Linked DNA regions of Macaca mulatta. The protein of the gene in region 1 interacts with the protein of each later gene in a biochemical or structural test. Links are inferred from orthologs where the notes say so. Each region holds a gene or a part of one and is shown in the gene's direction. Other genes may lie near its edges.

Region 1 (6,395 bases):
AGTGGCTCACGCACCTGTAATCCCAGCACTTGGGGAGGCTGAGACAGGCGGATCTCTTGAGGTCAGGAGTTTGAGACCAGCCTGTCCAATATGGTGAAACCCCGTCTCTACTAAATATACAAAAATTAGCCGGGCATGGTGGTGTGCACCTGTAGTCCCAGCTACTCGGGAGGCTGAGGCAGGAGAATTGTTTGAACCTGGGAGGCGGAGGTTGCAGTGAGCCAAGATCGTGCCACTGCACTCCAGCCTAGGTGACAGAGCAAGATCCGTCAAAAAGCAAGCAAACAAACAAACAAAAAAACTCACGTCCTCAGCAGACTCCTCCCTATGCACCTCCCACTCCCCTCAACTCATCATACACTCAGTTATTTTAAGGGCTTTCTCCCTGGCTCAGTTGTGAACTCCATAAGGAAATGGGTCATGTTTATTTTGCTCACTGAAAAATCCCCCTACTACTTATTGCTTGTTGATTCTCCCACTCAACAAATATTTATTAAGCAACAGATATGTCAGCCACTGGGTTTAAGCAGTGAAACAAGACCGAAAAGATTTTCACTTTCGGGGGAGGGGAGAAGACACAGAAAACGTTGAATAAGAATTTCAAGGCCAATCATGGTGGTGCATGCCTGTAATCCTAGCACCTTGGGAGGCCAAGGCAGGAGAATTGCTTGAGGCCAGGAGTTCAAGGCTGCAGTAAGCTAGGATTGCGCCACTGCACTCCTGCCTGGGTGACAGCAAGATTCTGTCAAAAGGAAAAAAAAGAAAAGAGAACATAGAATTGCAGGTAGAGAGGTAAGCATGCTATGAAAATGAAAGAGAAGGGGCTGGGCACAGTGGCTCAGGCCTGTCCCAGCACTTTGGGAGGCCAAGGCCGGTGGATCACCTGAGGTCAGGAGTTCGAGACCAAATACAAAAATTAGCCGGGTGTGGTGGTGCATGCCTGTAATCCCAGTTACTTGAGAGGTTGAGGCAAGAGAATCACTTGAACCCAGGCAGGGGAGGTTGCAGTGAACTGAGATCTGGCCATTGCACTCCAGCCTGGGCAACAGAGCAAAACTCCATGTAAAAAAAAAAAGAGAGAGAGAGAGAGAAGGGAACAGGGAACTGGTGGGGAGGATTTGCAAAAGTGTGGTTAGGGATGGCTCCTTGGAGCAGAGATGAAGCCATCCTGCAGTGTTACAGGCAAGGGAGACGCTGGGGTAAAGGCCTGGAGGCAGGAATAGGTTTGGCCTGTTGCATGAACAGTGGGTCCAGCTCCTAGCAAACTATTTAATAAAAGAAGAATGAATGCCTTGGGTCTAGGGTTGTGCTGGGCGCTTTCTTAAGTTTTCTTTCCCGGGTACCTCCCCAGATCTGGCCTGCAGGTATTATCAAACCCATTACACAAGTGAAACTGGCCCAGACACAGTAAAGTAGCTGGCCCAAGACCATACAGGAGTGAGGGGTGGAGGAACCCTCTTCCCATTGAGTTCTGGCTTTCCTATACTGAGTAGGTGGAACTGCTGTCCCGCCTTGTTGGTGAATGTCGTTGCTAGACGTTCAGACACATACAGGCTGGTCTGCTGAAAATCTGAGATGCTGAAAATCTGAGATGTCCACCTGCGCCCTATTCGAGGTCTCCGGAGTCGTCTTTGGCCTCTTCTTTGCTCTTTCAGAAGCGTCTGCACATTTTTCCAGGTGTCATTTCTTTAACTTGAACACAGGGAGCGCACTGGGCGCGCGGGCACGTGGCTGTCCCCAGGGGCCTGGCTTGGGTCTCGCCCCTGGGCGGGGGCGCACGCGCGGGCGGGACATCTGGGGGCGCCCACGCGCTCTGGGACGAGTGTCGCTGGCCAGGCCCGGACTGGGGAAAGGCGAGTGAGACACTACTCGCCTGGGCTGCAAAATTTAAGGGAGTGAAAAAAAGAAAGAAAGAAAGAAACGAAAACCACCTCGAGTCACCAAAATAAACATTTTAATGCAGTGTTAAAAAAAAAAAAATCAACAGGAATCCTCCAAAGCCCACTATGAACAAAATAGCAAAACGGTAGAGAAAGGACCTGTGCTGCTGGGTAGGGCCTGTGGGGCGCCTCCGGGGGTCTGAAACTGGAGGAGACTCGGGGCTGTAGGGCCCGCGGATCTGGGGCGCCCCCTCGGTCCCGGCGCGCCCAGGGCCTCCAGCGCGGGGCCCGGCACAGGAGGCGGGGAGGCAGGCGGGGAGGCGGGCGGGGCGGGGCCGGGCGGCACCTCCCTCTCCTGCCTGCTTTCCCTCCCTCTCCTGGGCCTCTCCCGGGCGCAGAGTCCCTTCCTAGGCCAGATCCGCGCCGCCTTTTCCCGCGGCCCGCACCGGGCCCAGCTGACGGGCCGCGTTGTTTACGGGCCCGAGCAGCCCTCGCTCCCGCCGCCCGCCCGCCACCCGCCAGCCCAGGTGCCCGCCCGCCCGTCAGCTTGTCCGTTGGTCCGCGCGTCCCTCTGTCCCGGAGCCCGCAGGTCGCGACCCAGAGCGCGCGGGGCCGAGAGCCGAGAGACAGTCTGGGGCGCAGCGCCGAGCTCCCCGCCCCGACATCGTGGGACGGGGCCCGGGCCGCAGCGGCCGGGGGTCGGGGCCGCCACCGCGAGGGCCTCCGCTCCCTATTTGTAGCGGGCGAAGCCGCGCGCCTCCTTCCCGGGGCTGTCTCTAGGGCCCTCCCGGGCAGCGGGGCTGCGGCCCGCGGGTCGCCGGCGTGGAAGAGAAGGACGCGCGGCCCCCAGCGCCTCTCGGACGGCCGCCTCAGAGCATGACCCCCGCGGGCCAGCGCCGCGCGCTCTGATCCGAGGAGACCCCGCGCTCCCGCAGCCATGGGCACCGGGGGCCGGCGGGGGACAGCTGCCGCGCCGCTGCTGGTGGCGGTGGCCGCGCTGCTACTGGGCGCCGCGGGCCACCTGTACCCCGGAGAGGGTGAGTCTGGGGGCGCGGGCGTGGACGGGGAGCGCCGCGATGGGGAGAGGACCCCACCCGAGCCAAAATCGAGCCCCGGCTTGTGGACTGAGAACCCTCCCCGGGGGCGGGGGGCGGTGGCCGGGACTGTAGCTCCTGCCTCGCGTGGTGGGGGGGTGGGCGGGAAGCCGCTGACCTTGGCCTTTGCCCGCCCGGGCTCGCGCCTCCGCGCCCCGCGTGCCCGACCTGAGCCCGAGGAACCTTGCCCCAGTGCCCGCCCCGCCGCGGGCGCCTCTCTGGAGCGCGCCTCCGACCCGTGCCCCAGCCCCTCCGAGCCCAAGTCGCTCCGGAGACACGACATGCGTCGTCTTTGGGTCGCGGCCGGGAAGTGGGGTCACTGGGTCTGGAGAGCCCCGGACAGCCAAGTCCCCCGAGCGCATATGGTGTAGGTAGAGCCAATCGCCCCGAGTGCCTCACCGGTGGGTGACGCTGCCTGGGGTCGGGGACTGCAGAAACCCCCTCTACCCAGCTACCTTGGATTTAGGCCCGTGGCCACCCCGGACTCTAGGTCCACGTTTACCCTTTTGGGTTCTGTTTCCAGATGTCTGGAGGCAAATTCTAAAGCCTTAGCAACAGCAGCAATTGTAGCAGAAGTAGTGGCGGTTTTTTACCCTATTTATTGTAATTAGTATCACCGCACGCCACAGGCTGGTCTATCTTATCTCTCTGGACTGTCACAGTGGCCCCGGGAGGCGGATACAGTTCTGTACCCATTTCACAGAGGAGTAAACTAAGGCTCAGGTAGGATGCATAACTCCCTTGCCCTTAAGTCAGTGCCAGAGCCAGGACTTGAACCTCTCTGTGTCCCATTCTGCACAAGAATTTGGACTACTGTCCCTTGTCTGCTGTCTCCTTGACTCCTCCTCTCCCCTCAGCCCTGCCCTTCATGAAGGAGCCTTTGACCTTGAGTGAGCCTTTCCTTCCCCCTGACCCCATGGGCCCCTCTCCCACGTGTGGGTAGCATCTTCCTTGGGCTTGACAGCAGGCACCTTTGGGGTTGTAAGATAAAGATGGCGCAATCATTTAAGACAATATAGCCTGAGTGTCCCACTGTGGGGTCTGAGGCCCTGCTTTAAACATATCTGTTGGGTTACTGTTTCAGATTTCTCCATAAAAGGAAATCAGTGGTAATGAGGAAGGGGTCAGGGAGGGAAGGAATTGAAGCTCCTACATTTATTGATGGGGAACCGGGTACATGTAAAATCAGAGGTGCTAGAGTGGACCAACCGGGTGTGCTGAGTCAACTCTGTGAATTACATAATGTTTAAAAGCCCTGCGGCCACCCCGCCCCCAGGTGCTTGGTAGACAGTAGGTGCTCAATGAAGGGTGGCGTTTAATTTGGGTTGTTGTTAAGAAAATCCGGCTGGCTGTTGTGACTCACGCCTGTAATCCCAGCACTTTGGGAGGCTGAGGCGGGCGGATCAGGAGGTCAGGAGATCGAGACCATACTAGCCAACATAGTGAAACTCCCTTCTCTGCTCAAAATACAAAAATTAGCGGGATGTGGTGGCGTGCACCTGTAATCCCAGCTACTTGGGAGGCTGAGGCAGGATAATTGCTTGAACTGGGGAGGAGGAGGTTGCAGTGAGCTGAGATGGCACCTCTGCACTCCAGCCTGGCGACAGAGTGAGAGTTTGTCTTAAAAAAAAAAATCCAAGACGAGTGGTTTAGAACTATGCCAGATTCTGTGTGTGCGTTTGTGTGGTTCACTGCTCTTCTGTTCCTTGTAGCTTTGGTAATTAATCGTGGATCTGTGCCTGGACTTTCAGGGTCAGTAAATAGATTTACCATTTCTTTTCACATTTATGGCTTCCATATGGGCAGGGGTTTATGGTTTGTTGTTGATGTTGTTCACCACTGTATTTTTAGACCCCAGAACGGTGCCTGGCACATAGTAGGTGTTCAGTAAATATTTGTTCTGCAGTGGGGCACAGAAACCCTGGGTGTACTGGGCTCCTTTATCATCTTAAGAAGTTCTTTATTCTCTGCGTAATACCTTCCTAAGAATTGTAAGAGCAAGCTCTCAGCAGGTGCTGTTCTATTCGCTTTGCATATATAATCTCAGTTAATCCTCACGGCAAAACCCCACACGAGGTGTGATTTAATCATCCCTTTTCACAAGTGAGAAAACTTCGTTTGAGGCCAGCAGGCAGCAGGGCTGAGATTGGAATCTAGCTAGTGTGGCTGCAGAGCAATGGTTTCTTAACAAATCTTTGTTCTTTTGAGTCTGAGCCTCCATACCCCCCATGTTTGGGGTAATGGTGAACAAAATCCTATCAAATAAATGGGCTGTGATGCCTCTTGAAGGCGTGGGGAGGGGCAAAGAGCTTTTCAGATCATTAGATCATTAATCTCTAATGTCAACCAATGTGGCTTTTTTTTTTTTTTTTGAGACGGAGTCTTGCTCTGTCACCCAGGCTGGAGTGCAGTGGCACGATCTCGGCTCACTGCAACCTCCACCTCCCAGGTTCAAGGGATTCTCCTGCCTCAGCCTCCCCAGTAGCTGGGATTACAGGTGTGTTTCACAACACCGGCTAATTTTTTATATTTTTAGTAGAGACAGGGTTTCACCGTGTTAGCCAGGACGGTCTCAATCTCCTGACCTCATGATCCACCCGCCTCAGCCTCCCAAAGTGCTTGGATTACAGGCATGAGCCACTGCGCCCGGCCTTTTTTTTTTTTTTTTTGAGACAGGTTCTCACTCTGTCACCCAGGCTGGAATGCAGTGACACGATCTTTACTCACTGCCCACTGCAACCTCCACCTTTCAGGTTCACGTGCATCTCCTGCCTCAGCCTCCTGAGTAGCTGCGATTACAGGCATCCATCACCACCCTCGGCTAATTTTTGTATTTTTAGTAGAGATGGGGTTTCGCCATATTGGTTAGGCTGGTCTCAAACTTCTGACCTCAAGTGATCTGCCTGCCTCGGCCTCCCAAAGTCCTGGGATTACAGGCGTGAGCCACCACTCCTGGCCCTATATGGTATTTTGATTGGGATGAAGGGTGGAGGAAAATCAGTGTGATTTTTGTATCTATCTACCTATCTATTCATTTTACTGTATTTGTTTTTGAGATGAGGTCTTGCTCTGTTGCTTAGACTGCAGTGCAGTTGGGCAATGACGGCTCACTGCAGCCTCGACCTCCTGGACGCAAGCCATCCTCCTACCTCAGCCTTCCTAGTAGCTGGGCCCACAGGTGCACGCCACCCTGCCTGGCTAATTTTTACTTTAATTTGTAGAGATGAAGTCTTGCTATTTTGTCTGGGCTGGTCTCAAACTCCTGGCCTCAAGCGATCTGCCCGCCTTGGCCTCCCAAAGTGCTGGGATCACAGGCATGAGCCACAGTGTCTGGCCTCTGCAGTTATTCTTATTCTTTGCTTCTCTCCTGGAGACCTGCTTCTTGCCCTTCCCCATTCATGCATAGAGCCCATAGTGTGTG
Region 2 (6,510 bases), on another chromosome or scaffold:
TTGTGCTGTCACCATGCAACATGCAAGAAGGAACGAGCAGCTGGGTGCAGTGGCTCATGCCTGGAATCCCAGCACTTTGGGAGGCTGAGGCGGGTGGATCACCTGAGGTCAGAAGTTCGAGACCAGCCTGGGCAAAATGGTGAAACCCCGTCTCTACTAAAAATACAAAAATTAGCTGGGCGTGGTGGAGCGTGCCTATAATCCCAGCTACTTGGGAGGCTGAGGCAGGAGAATCGCTTGAATCTGGGAAGTGGAGGTTGCAGTGAGTTGAGATCATGCCGCTGCACTCCAGCCTGGGTGACAGAGTGAGACTCCATCTCAAAAAAAAAAAAAAAAAAAAAAGAAAAAGGAAAAGAAAAAATTAAGAACCTAAGAGAGAAGGCAAAGGGAGAGTCCAAAGGGGAGATTAAGAGACTGAAACAGAAACAAAACTTCATTCTGAGAGAGATAGCAGTTGAGATAAGAAAGAGTAAAACCAGGGAAAGGTTTGAGGGAAGCTAAGAGAAAGATGGAGAGACCAAATGCGAGGGACTGAGTTTGCATGTTTGTTCATTCACCTAGTGTCTGTAGAGCGCCTAATGTGTGTCACACACTTTAGTCTAAGCTGGAGACAAGCAGTAAACACAATTTCTATTCTGTAGGAAGAGACAGAGAAGAAACCAGCAAACAAGTAGAATGGTGATAAATGTTACGGAGAAAAAGAAAGCCAGGCAGTGAGATGTTGAGGAGATAGGAGATTTAAAATCAGGGAGTTGGGAGAGGCCTTGCTGGAAAGGTGATATTGAGCAAAGTCTGAGGGAGGAAACAGAGGAAGCCATGCAGTACTTGGGTTGGAGAGTGTTCCAGGCAGAGGGGACCTTAATTGAAAAGTCCCTGATGCGAGTGATCAACGGGGAAAGGGGTGATAAATGGGTCAGAGTGATTAATGCGGTCATAGCAGATAGGGCTTTGTGGGCCACAGTTAGCACTTTGGTTTTTATTCTAGATGAAATTTCTTTTCTTTCTTTCTTTTTTTTTTTTTTAATATTTATTGATTTTTTTTTTGAGACGGAGTTTTGCTCTTGTTGCCCATGCTGGAGTGCAATGGCATGATCTTGGCTCACTGCAACCTCTGCGAGACGGAGTTTCACTCTTGTCACCCAGGCTGGAGTGCAAGGGTGCGATCTCTGTTCACTGCAACCTCTGCCTCCCGGGTTCAAGCGATTCTCCTGCCTCAGCCTCCCAAGTAGCTGGGATTACAGGCACCTGTCACCACACCCGGCTAAGTTTTGTATTTTTCTTTTCTTTTTTTTTTTTTTTTTGAGACGGAGTCTCGCTCTGTCGCCCAGGCTGGAGTGCAGTGACGCGATCTCGGCTCACTGCAAGTTCCGCCTCCCGGGTTTATGCCATTCTCCTGCCTCAGCCTCCCGAGTAGCTGGGACTGCAGGCACCCGCCACTACACCCGGTTAGTTTTTTGTATTTTTTAGTAGAGAAGGGGTTTCACTGTGTTAGCCAGGATGGTCTCGATCTCCTGACCTCGTGATCCACCCATCTCGGCCCCCCAAAGTGCTGGGATTACAGGCTTGAGCCACCGCGCCCGGCCAGTTTTGTACTTTTCAGAGACGAGGTTTCACCATGTTGGCCAGACTGGTCTCAAACTCCTGACCTCAAGTGTTCCACCCGCCTGGACCCCCCAAAATGCTGGGATTACAGGTGTGAGCCACCGCACCTGGCCCTTGCCAACTTTTTAATGGAGTTGTTTTCTGCTTGTTGAAATGTTTAGTTTCCTTATATAATCTGGATGGTAGATCTTTGTTGGATGCATAGTTTGTGAATATTTTCTTCCATTCTTCAGTTGTCTGTTTGTTGATAGTTGCTTTTGCTTTTGCTGTGAAGAAGCTCTTTAGTTTAATGAGGCCCCACTTAACAATTTTTGTTTTTGTTGCCTTTGAGGACTTAGTCACGAATGGTTTACCAAGGCTGATATCCAGAATGGTATTTCTCCTGGGGTTTCTTCTACAATTTTTATGGTTTGAAGTCTTACATTTAAGTCTTTAACCCATCTTGAGTTAATTTTTTTATATGGTGAAAGGCAGGGGTCCACTTTCATTCTCTTGCATATGTCTAGCCAGTTATCCCAGTGCCACTTAAATGAAATTTCAGCTGAGATTTGAAAGATACACATACAGGAACCAGGGCAGAATTGAGTTCTGGGCTGCAGGCTCTGGATTCAGTTCATTCATTTATTCAATCTCTCTCTGTCATTAATTCTCCAAGCATTTAGAGAGGCCTACTTTGCCCCAAGGCTTGTCCTGGGTGTACTAGAGAGACCAACTTGGAGAAGACCCTCCCCTCAGCTCTGGAGGAAGAAAACATTTCAGAGTGGGGTGAGGTCCTGCCCTCCTGCAGGTGGGATAATCCTGCCAGGGTGACCTTGGTCAGCCATAAACTTGGGGAATGAATGGGCAACAGGCTGGGGAGCGGCTGCCAGCAAGGAGGAAGGAGCTGGAGAGTGTGGAGGTGGGAGTTGGGGGAGAAAGGGGAGATCCCCCCTCAATTTTCTGTCTTTTCTGTGGTGAGAAAGGTCCTGTCTCCCCGCTGGCTCTGAGCTCTGGCTACAGGCTGGCTGGGGAGGGAACAGTGGATGGGCCAAGACAGGTGGCCCTGGCATGTGATGCGTGCACGGGGACTACTCAGCTCTCACTTTTAGAACGGTTTCCGGAAGTGATGGGAGGGATTGGGCAGGGCAGCTAAATATAGTCCTGGAGCCATGGCTCAGTCTGGGAGGGTCTTCCACTGAGCACTGTGTGCCCATCACGCGTGGTGTCCACTGCCAGCTTCCCCTGTGAGTCCCTGTCCTTGCTTGGAGCCTGCTGCTTGTCTCAGATCTTTGGACACAGCCCTGACCCCAGTCCAGCTCGGCTCGACCCTTACCGGTCCTCCTTCCAGTGTCTTTCAGCCTAAGATCTCCAACCAGACCTGTGAGTCCCGTGGGCTGGAAGGGGGGGAGGGGAGGGCTGGAGATCTTGGTAAAGTGGGGGAGGGGAGTCTCGAAGTGGGGGCTCTGGAGAATTTGGGGCCAGGGCTGAGGTCAGAGGCTGAAGCCTGGGGCTAAGGCGAGGGCAAGGACAGTGGGCTAGGACCTGGGCTTGTGTTCAGGAACTGGGGTTGACCGATAGAGCATATTTTTGGAGCTGGAGCTGAGAATTGCAGTGGAGGCTACTTTTGGGCCTGAGACCGAGTTCCTCTTCCCCTTTGGCCGTCAGAGCCCCATCCAGTGTAGGATGGGAGGTCTTTACAGGCTACGGCTTCTCCCTGCGGCGCGGCGGGCCCGGCCTGGGCCAGGGCTGGGCCGGGAGCACGGCGCCGTGGGTCCCCCTAACCGACTCCTCCTCCACCCAGGCCCGCCATGTCGGCTGCGCCGGGCCTCCTGCACCAGGAGCTGTCCTGCCCGCTGTGCCTGCAGCTGTTCGACGCGCCCGTGACAGCCGAGTGCGGCCACAGTTTCTGTCGCGCCTGCCTGGGCCGCGTGGCCGGGGAACCGGCGGCGGATGGCACCGTTCTCTGCCCCTGCTGTCAGGCCCCCACGCGGCCGCAGGCACTCAGCACCAACCTGCAGCTGGCGCGCCTGGTGGAGGGGCTGGCCCAGGTGCCGCAGGGCCACTGCGAGGAGCACCTGGACCCGCTGAGCATCTACTGTGAGCAGGACCGCGCGCTGGTGTGCGGAGTGTGCGCCTCACTCGGCTCGCACCGCGGTCATCGCCTGCTGCCCGCCGCCGAGGCCCACGCACGCCTCAAGGTGCGGGATCCGAACGCATCGGGGTCGGAGGGGTTGTTCGGCGGCGCGGGGGCTGGCCGCTGGGGAGGTCGCTGTACTGATTTGGATTCTGAGTCTCTAAAGAGGACCTGGAGTTGCCGGGGTCGGGGGCGGGGCGAAGCAGCCAGGAAAGAGTGTCTGAGGAGCTGAAGGCGGGGCTGACAGAGGAAAGCCGCGCAGGGACGGAGACTGGCGAGAAGGGGGCTGAGCAAACCTAGGTTCCCGGCCTTAGCCTCTAGAGGGACCTGGAGATGGGAGGGCGGAGCCCCAGGGCTGGTCTGATGGGCGGGCCGGAACCAGGCGGAGCAGCGACTGACCAGCCCCTACGGCCCACGCGCTCATTCTTTCACCAGGTGGGCCGGTCGGGCAGGCTCCCTGCGCGGCGCTGGCCCACTTTGGAATGGAGGCGCGGCGTTCCGGGCCGAGCCAGGCGGCCGGGCCAGGGCTGTCCTGTGGTGCTCAGCGGAGGCCCACGCACCCCTGAAACTTCGGAACTTTGGCTGGCCTCACGGTCCCCAGGCGGGGCCTCACCAAAAGGGAGACTGGAAGGGCCAGGCAACCGGGATCTGCACTTGCGTGCGCGGACCCAGGGTGGCACCGAGAGCCCCGTCCAGGATGTTTTTCTGGGTGGAGCTGGAAGTCCCGAACGCCTTGGGAGCCCACACGTGGTTGTGTGCGTCCCGAGGTACTCAGCAGACACCCAGACAGAGGCAAATAGAGACCCACGCACACTGGCTAGTGCGTGCTATACGTGTGGCAAAAGCACACGCGTGTAGCTACCGGCGGGCACGTGTGCGCGCAGCCCCAGGAAAGTCTGTCATGAATATTTATTGGGCAGTGGAAGAAGAAATGACAGGTGCAGGGGCTGGAGGAGGCGGGGTCTGGAGGCACGGAGGCGTCCTTGGTCCCCGAGGTGGAGACACTGCCGTCGTCTTACGCTGCTGGTGCGCGCGCGGGGCTGGCTTCACAGGCGTTGCACTACTCCTTCCCTTGGCCTGCCTCCTAGAGGGGGTAGACTACCGTCCTTTCGTTGGTATTCGAGGCCCCCGGGCTTCCCAAGGACCCAGCCTCTCAGTCCCGCCAGCTCCTGCCTGGCCCAGTTCAGCCCAGGCCTAGCTGGTGGTCTCCTAGCTCAGGGCAGGAGCCTCCTCCCGGGAGCCCTCCCATCCCAGCACACCTGTGCTTAAGAAAGAAAAGAAAGAAATTCAAGATGAAGCTGGGGACTGTGCGACTGCGCGAGGGCTTTGAGCGCATTCCAACCTCGCCCAACCTTGCCCGTCTTTATCTGCGAAGAGAGCACGGAACCCATGAAACGGAACAGGGCCCAGGCAGCCCAGGAGCCTGGAAGGGGGCAGTGGGGCGAGATGCAGCCCACCGGGGTTCGCTGCAGCCCAGCCCTTCGCCGCCGGGAGGGGCTGGCCGGAGGTCTGAGGGAAGACCCCAGGAGGGACCCTGAAGGAGGAGGGGAACAGGAAGGCTCTGGGCGGGACCCGACGCCTGGGTCCTTGGCGAGGAAGCGGGGTTGGGTCCCTAGATCACGTACCAGCTCAGAGTGGCCCTCGCGCGGCCCGCGGCAGCTGTGCCGCCTCCTCCAGCATGCCCATGTCGAGCAGCACGGCCACGACGAACTCGACTGCGTAGTCCTCGTAGTAGGAGGCGACCAGCTGGTCGGTGAGGTCCACGATGTCTAGCTGCCCGAGTGCGCCCCGCGGGATACGCTCAAAGCCCTCGCGCAGTGGCACAGTCCCCAGTTTCATCTTGAATTTTTCTTTCTTTTATTTTCTTTCTTTTTTCTTTTTTTTTTTTTTGAGACTGACTCTTGCTCTGTAGCCCAGGCTGGAGTGCAGTGGCGCGATCTCCGCTCACTGCAAGCTCTGCCGCCTCCGGTGTTCACGCCATTCTCCTGCCTCATCCTCCCGAGTAGCTGGGACTACAGGCGCCCGCCACCACGCCCGGCTAATTTTTTTTTGTATTTTTAGTAGAGAGGGGGTTTCACCGTGTTAGCTAGGATGGTCTGGATCTCCTGACCTCGTGATCCGCCCGCCTTCGCCTCGCCTCCCAAACTGCTGGAATTACAGGCATGAGCCACCCCGCCCGGCCCATCTTGAACTTCTTGAGCTCCTCCGGGGTCAGGTTCTCCAGCACCTTCAGGATGGCCTCTCGCTTCCTTCCTATGGCTGAGCCCTGAGCCTCTGAGCCTGGGAGGGCCTGGAGCCATCAGGTCCTACCTTTCCTGCAGCAGGTGGAGCCGCCGCCCCCGGGGAAGAACCGGGGAGGAGACTGATCTGGCAGCTCATATTCAACCCTGTGGCTCCTGCCAGAAGGGGACTCTGCAAACACCACCTAGAGGGTCCCCTAGTTTCCCCTGGGAAAGTGGGGGCACCAAATTGTGGAGGTGGGGATTGCTGTTCCCAATCTGCAGAGGAGGAAACAGGTTGGAAGTCATGGAGGCAGGAGTGGAACTCATTCCATGGCCAGGCACCTTCCAGCAAAGAAGTGGCTTTGTAGCCTGGCATGGTTGCTCATGCTTGTAGTGCCAACTATTCAGGAGGCTGAAGCAAAAGGATTGCTTGAGCCTAGGAGTTCGAGGATGCAGAGCTGTGATTGTGCCACTGCACTCCAGCCTAGGCAATCCTGTCTCAAAAAAAAAAAAAAAAAAAAAAAATTTTCTTTGGCAGGAGTATTGGGAGCTCTCCTATATTTGCATATTTGT
Region 3 (5,724 bases), on another chromosome or scaffold:
TTTGACCATTCACAACCCGAACTATGGCAACATCTCTCTTCTTCCCTCCTTCCACACAGATCCTGGGCACACAGGGCCCTGCTTGCTGAGTCTCAGCTGCTGATTTCACCCAGTCCGCATCTTCGGATCCATCTAACCCATCTTTCTAAGGCACCCTTCCTCTTCCAGCGTGCTGGTCCCCAGCCCCTGCCCTCTCCCCTGGGCCTGGGTTGAATGTGGCTTCTGTTCTTCCAGCAGGGGCTATGCTGGCCAGGCCTCAGTGGTCTCATCGCTGCCATTTCAGCAGCCTCCCTTCTGTCCTCACCCCTCCCTTCTGTCTGTCTGTCTTCACCAGGATCTTGAGCGTGATCTGGCTAAACCCTGATCCTACTGTCCCACTCACCCCAGAAGCCGAAGCACTACCCCCGGGGTGACCCTGCCCCCCTCCGCACCCTCTGCACTACTGTGGCTGCCCAGGACCTCCCTCCCTCCTTGTTGTCATTTGGTTTCCTTATGTCTTGTCTTGTTATGCCCTTTAACCTTGGGAGATGAGGGGAGCCCTTTAAAACAAAAGCCTTCCAACCCAGAGGGCAGAGTGCCCCTCTGGAGCTTCTGTGAGGAGCACACACCTGGTAGGGGAGAATGAGGGCTGCAAAGCTTGTTTTCAATACTGCTTATGTGACCTTGGGCAGGTGATTTAATTCTTCCAGGCCTGTTTCCTCAGCTGTTAAGCCAGGTTAATAATGACCACTTTTTGTTATTCTGTAAGAAATAGATGAAATAGGGCTAATAAATAACATCTTCCTGTTTACTGTGTGCCAAGCTCTGTTATAAAGCAGATAATAACTAACTTAGTCCTTACAACCCCCGTGTGGGGTGGACACTGTTGCTAAGCTCTTATTAGAGTTGAGGACTCTTAAGAAATAGGAAGCCCATGTCCCAGGCCCTGTGCCCAGAGCCAGTAGGAGCAGGCCAGGGTGAGCAAGTTTGCAAGTGCCAGTCTCTGCTTTCCTTCCTACCGACCAAACGCTGTAGCCTTTGTTAGGAAGAGCGTCTTGCTGTCTGTGATCCTGAGCCCATGTGTGTTAAGTCTGCTTCTCCAGAGAAACAGAGATAGGGCTGCAACCCATTAAATAGGCTATATACAGAGAGAGACATATGTATTTTAGGAATTGGCTTATGACACTGGAGGCTAGCAAGTCCAAAATCTGCAGGGCAGGTTGGCAGGCTGGACGTCCAGGGAAGGGTTGCAGTTCAGGTCTGGAGGCAAAATTCCATCTTTCCCCTTGGAGGCCGGGCTTTTTCTTCTATTCAGGTCTTCAGGTGATGGGCTGAGGCCCTCTCACATGAGGAAGAACAATCTGCTTTACTCAAAGTCTGTGGTTTAAATGTTAATTGCATCTAAAAAATACCTTCACAGCATCTAGTCTAGTCTAGTGTTTAGCTAAAACCCGGCACCATGGCCCAGCCAAGTTGACACATAAAACCAACCATCACAGCCTCTGTGTGCTCATTCCTCCCTTACTAAAGGGCATTTTCCGCTCTCTCTCTCTCGGCTTACTCTCTGTGCCATTGTGGCTTCTCTCTCTGCACTGCCCCATGCAGAGAGAGAAGATGTGAAGATGGGCTTCCTTCTGCACTCTGGCCAATCAAGAGGATGGGTGGGCACCCGAAGCCCACAGGCGTGTGTTGTAGTAGCAGCCACACATAAACCTCTGTCACAGTTTCAGCTCCTACTTAACCTTTCTGGGCTGGAACCAGTGTCACAGTGTTGGGTGCTGCTCTGTTTCTGTCTCTTGTTTCACTTCTGGAATCCCAGGGAGGAGAGAGTCCTGATCTTGGGAGACCACCTGTGATTCAGTCAGCTGAGTCCAGGCCAGTGGGGTTGTGCTATGCAGCTATGGCTGTGTGTGGCCTACCGGAGTGGGTGGGGAGGAGAGAACAGGGTGCTGAAGGGAACTGAGCAGATGCTCCAAATGGCTTCTCCCTGGAGACAGGTAGAAATGCAGCCCAGCTCTAATGATTGAATTGCCTCGGAATGTCAATCATGATGAATACATGTAATATGCATGCTTCCATACAGTCATACTTCTCTCAGTGTTGCCCCACTACCGCTTACATAGCATTTGAAAAATAGGATTGAGGTTTGGAACCTGATTACCAAGATGTACATTTGGGTTTGATTGCTCTCCACTGCTAAAGTTTCTTTTTTGCTCTTGCCTTTTTCTGTGCAGAGGATGATGTGGACCTGGAAGCCCTGGTGAACGATATGAACGCATCCCTGGATAGCCTGTACTCAGCCTGCAGCATGCAGTCAGACACAGTGCCCCTCCTGCAGAATGGCCAGCATGACCGCAGCCAACCTCGGGCTTCAGGCCCTCGGTCCGTCCAGCCACAGGTGTCCCCGAGGCAGAGGGTGCAGCGCTCCCAGCCTGTGCACATCCTTGCTGTCAGGTAAGTCCAGGCCTCACGGGCAGAGCCTTCTCCAAGGGTGAGAGCTGTCGACGACATCTCTCTCTGTGAGTTAAATGGTCTTGGGGGGAACAGTGTTGGCCTTGCAAAACCAAGAGGCACATACATTCCTTTGATGGGATAACGGATACACTGAGTGTGTGTGGTGTGCCGCGCTTGGGTTGAACTTTGTAGCCGGTTCAATTCCAGTACTTTTTATTGAGTGCCTGCTATGTGCAAGGCACTGTGCTAGATAGAGGGATATGCAGGAAAACCACCAGAGGAAAAATCTCTGGGAAGATTGAAAGAACAGCCATAGAGCTGATGGCATGCCCCAAGCCCTCACTACCCAGAGTAGGGTTGGGAGGCTAGCAGCTACAGCACCCCCCGGAGCTTGTCGTATAACCCCAAACCTCCCTCGGAGTTGCATTTGGCCACATTCCTCTGCTAATTCATGGGTAGGCACATCTCTGTGGAAACAGGGAGGCTGGAGGGAGGAACGTGCTGGGGACGTTGAAGGAGGTTCCTGGGAGGTGGGATCTCTGAACAGATGTCAAAGGGTTGTAGGAGCTCAGATAGATGGAGGCAGAGGTTTTATAAGCAGAAGAGATGATGCAGATGGAGGCCAGTGCTGAAACACTTGGTGTGCCCTTTTCAGGAGCCACATGGGGAAGAGTTCTGGACAGGTGCGTGAAGGGGCTGGGTTTGAGTTTTGACACCAGCATTCTGGCTGCCAGGGGTCATGGGGACAGTGGTAGAGGGCAGCAGGGTTGGCACAGCATGGCCGGTTTGGAAGCGGTTTCAGGAGCCCCCGAATGGGAGATGATTGTGCGCTGCCCGAGGATGAAGAAAGAGGGGATTTGAGCGCGTTGCCGAGGAGGGGCAGCTGCGTTTTGCCAGCACTTGAATGTTGCCAGGGCTGTGAGGAGACAGAGAGTGTGTGGAGGGTGACTTGGATTTTGTCTCGAGTGCCTGGGAGGAGGGTGTCTAGAGAACGGTCGTGTTGAAGGAGAAGGTGCTGAGAGCACCTTAGACATTCTGAATGAAGATCTTTATAGAGTCAAGCTGAGAGCCAGCGGCAGCCCTCAAGGATCGGCCTGTCTGCCCTGCTGCAGTCCATGGCGGGGATGGCGTGGGGCTCCGTGGGACCCTGCCTGCCTCTCTGGGCCTTCGTGGAGGATGTACAGCCATCTCTGCTGGTACTGCCCCTTGCCCTCATTGGCCTCTGTCAGGATGGGGTTCCGGTGCTTCCTGTCTCAGCACCCCATCTTCCAGGGAGCTCCGTTCATTTCCTGGGATCTTCCTTGCTTCTAGAAACTTCTGAGAGTTTTCTTTGTGGTCTGACATCTTCGGTCTTCCGCAGCCCAGATAATCACCTTGCTCCAGGTGGCCGCTGTTTCTTACGGAGGGGAGAGGGTGCAGTGGCCCTGGCGCCTGTGGTCAGCTGCCTCGCCAGCTTCCCACCCCAGCTTCCCCTCTGACTTCTCACTTTTTGTCATATTCATTGATGCTGAATGATGCCTGTCCCAGGGTTTGTTCGACTTTGTTCTTTGAAGCGTGACCCCTTGTACTTAGCTCCTGTACTTAGTTAAGTCTAGTGGGAGAGCTGTTTTTCTCTTGGGAGTGTCTCTTGGGAGCATCACAGTAGCCTTGGGGAGCGCCTGGGAATATAGAGTTGCAGTCGCATGGCGAAGGTGCCCGAGGGTGAGCTGGAAAGCCAGAAGGCCTGCCTTCCTGCTGGAGTAGTTGCCCAGGACCCTTGAACCTCGAGTTCTGGCTGAACTTGCCCATATGTGCCCCAGGGCTGCCTGCGCTAAGTCCCCGGGGTGGAGGGGCAGTCTTGCTCTGTGGGACAGCAGAGCCCTCTCCCTACAGGGTCACAGGCACTATTCCTTGGGCCCAGACTCTTCTCACTGGTGTCCTCTCAGATAAGTAGTTTTGTTTCTCACTTTCAGGTGGATTAAAAAAAATGTGGTTATCAATCTAGAATCACCAAAGATTTATTTTGTGAAGTGAGGCCATTCGCTGAGCGCTTACTGTGTGCAGATGCTGATGAGCTCCTCCTTTGTTATCAGTGTCCTCGGAGGGAGGTGGTGTGGGTTACCCTCGCTTCCCAGGTGAGGAAACCGAGGCACAGCGGGGCGGTAACTTGGCCCACTGCAGCAGGTGGGAAGTGGCCATGGAGCAGGCTGCTGGGTACCGGGGAGTACAGAGCATGGTGCACGCTACAGAGGAACTTCCCGGGGGCTGCCATACAACCCAAAGGGAGCTGGGGTGCAGGCAGGGTATGGGCAGAGGAGACGCTTGGAAAGGGCAAGAAGGCCTCACACACAGGAGAGCCGACGGGTGAGCCGATTCTGTATGGAGAAGCAACCCAGGCTTTTGAGAGTGCAAGGACCACGCATGTGTTCTAGACAAACGCAAATGGGCCAGGGCATAGGCACAGAGAAGAAGGACCCGCACCTCGCCACACCAGCTCTGCAGTTCCTGCCACCATCACTGACATCCCTAAATCTCAGCACCCCTCTCCATAGTCACTCTCCCTTCTATTGTGAGCCCCTTTCGTGGGGATTTTTTGTCTTTGGGTGATGCCCCTTAGTCTTGCCTTAGGCAATGTCTCTGAGCCACTTTAAAGTCAACACAGGACTTTTTAAAAATGCTCAAAACAACCCAATAAAGAGATAAGCTTTTGTGAACACTGAAACATCAGATTATCTCTTCGGGGTGAAGTCACTGGCTAGAAGCTGTGGACTGGAATGTCCTGAAAGTGGCACTGGCCACCCCTTTTATCCATCTCCTCCTGTACGACAACAGCCAGACCTTTCAGTTGGATGCCTTGCCAAGGCTGAAGCTGTTATGGGAAGAGTGGGATTTGTTCACAGTAAAAATAAACTTTCTGGCATGTCATCAAACCATTATAGGAACGGCTTTCCTGTATTTCACAGCACTGATTCCCTTCATGCCATGTGAGTTCTCATAATTTTAAATCCATGCATCATTTGCTGGTCTATGTGGGATAGCTAGCTGGATCTTCCTTTAAAAATAGGGAAAGTTGGTAAAAGAGAAAAAGTAAAGTGGTCACAAAGTGTGTTTCTGTAGTGGCATATCTCTCAGGAAAGCTAACGGATTGTTGATTTTGTGAAATCATAAAAATGGTCAAAAAAATTACTTGAAGACACAGCCTGTGATGGGGGTTTCTGAGGTGTGTTTAAACATGGGGAGGGACTGGAAATGCTGAGTGAAGATAATGTGAGGTTTGCTCCCCTCTCCTTGAAGGTAGGAGGCTGTGGACAG

Evidence for each region.
Region 2: the proteins of INSR (region 1) and TRIM72 form a complex in vitro, tested with the Homo sapiens proteins (2 studies listed by BioGRID). The link is inferred for Macaca mulatta from reciprocal best matches to the Homo sapiens genes INSR and TRIM72.
Region 3: the proteins of INSR (region 1) and GRB10 form a complex in vitro, tested with the Homo sapiens proteins (5 studies listed by BioGRID and IntAct). The link is inferred for Macaca mulatta from reciprocal best matches to the Homo sapiens genes INSR and GRB10.

The regions. Positions count from the first base shown.
Region 1 is NC_133424.1:8,178,804-8,185,198, reverse strand, and holds the start of INSR (insulin receptor), read left to right. Parts: upstream 1-2,274; 5' UTR 2,275-2,817; coding exon 2,818-2,917; intron 2,918-6,395. UniProt on the Homo sapiens protein: Receptor tyrosine kinase which mediates the pleiotropic actions of insulin.
Region 2 is NC_133425.1:29,858,099-29,864,608, forward strand, and holds the start of TRIM72 (tripartite motif-containing protein 72), read left to right. Parts: upstream 1-2,682; 5' UTR 2,683-2,961; intron 2,962-3,382; 5' UTR 3,383-3,389; coding exon 3,390-3,779; intron 3,780-5,320; exon of another isoform or gene 5,321-5,344; coding exon of another isoform or gene 5,345-5,579; intron 5,580-5,907; coding exon of another isoform or gene 5,908-5,995; intron 5,996-6,279; coding exon of another isoform or gene 6,280-6,313; intron 6,314-6,510. UniProt on the Homo sapiens protein: Muscle-specific E3 ubiquitin-protein ligase that plays a central role in cell membrane repair by nucleating the assembly of the repair machinery at injury sites.
Region 3 is NC_133408.1:77,844,015-77,849,738, forward strand, and holds part of GRB10 (growth factor receptor-bound protein 10), read left to right. Parts: intron 1-1,519; exon of another isoform or gene 1,520-1,976; intron 1,977-2,213; coding exon 2,214-2,433; intron 2,434-5,724.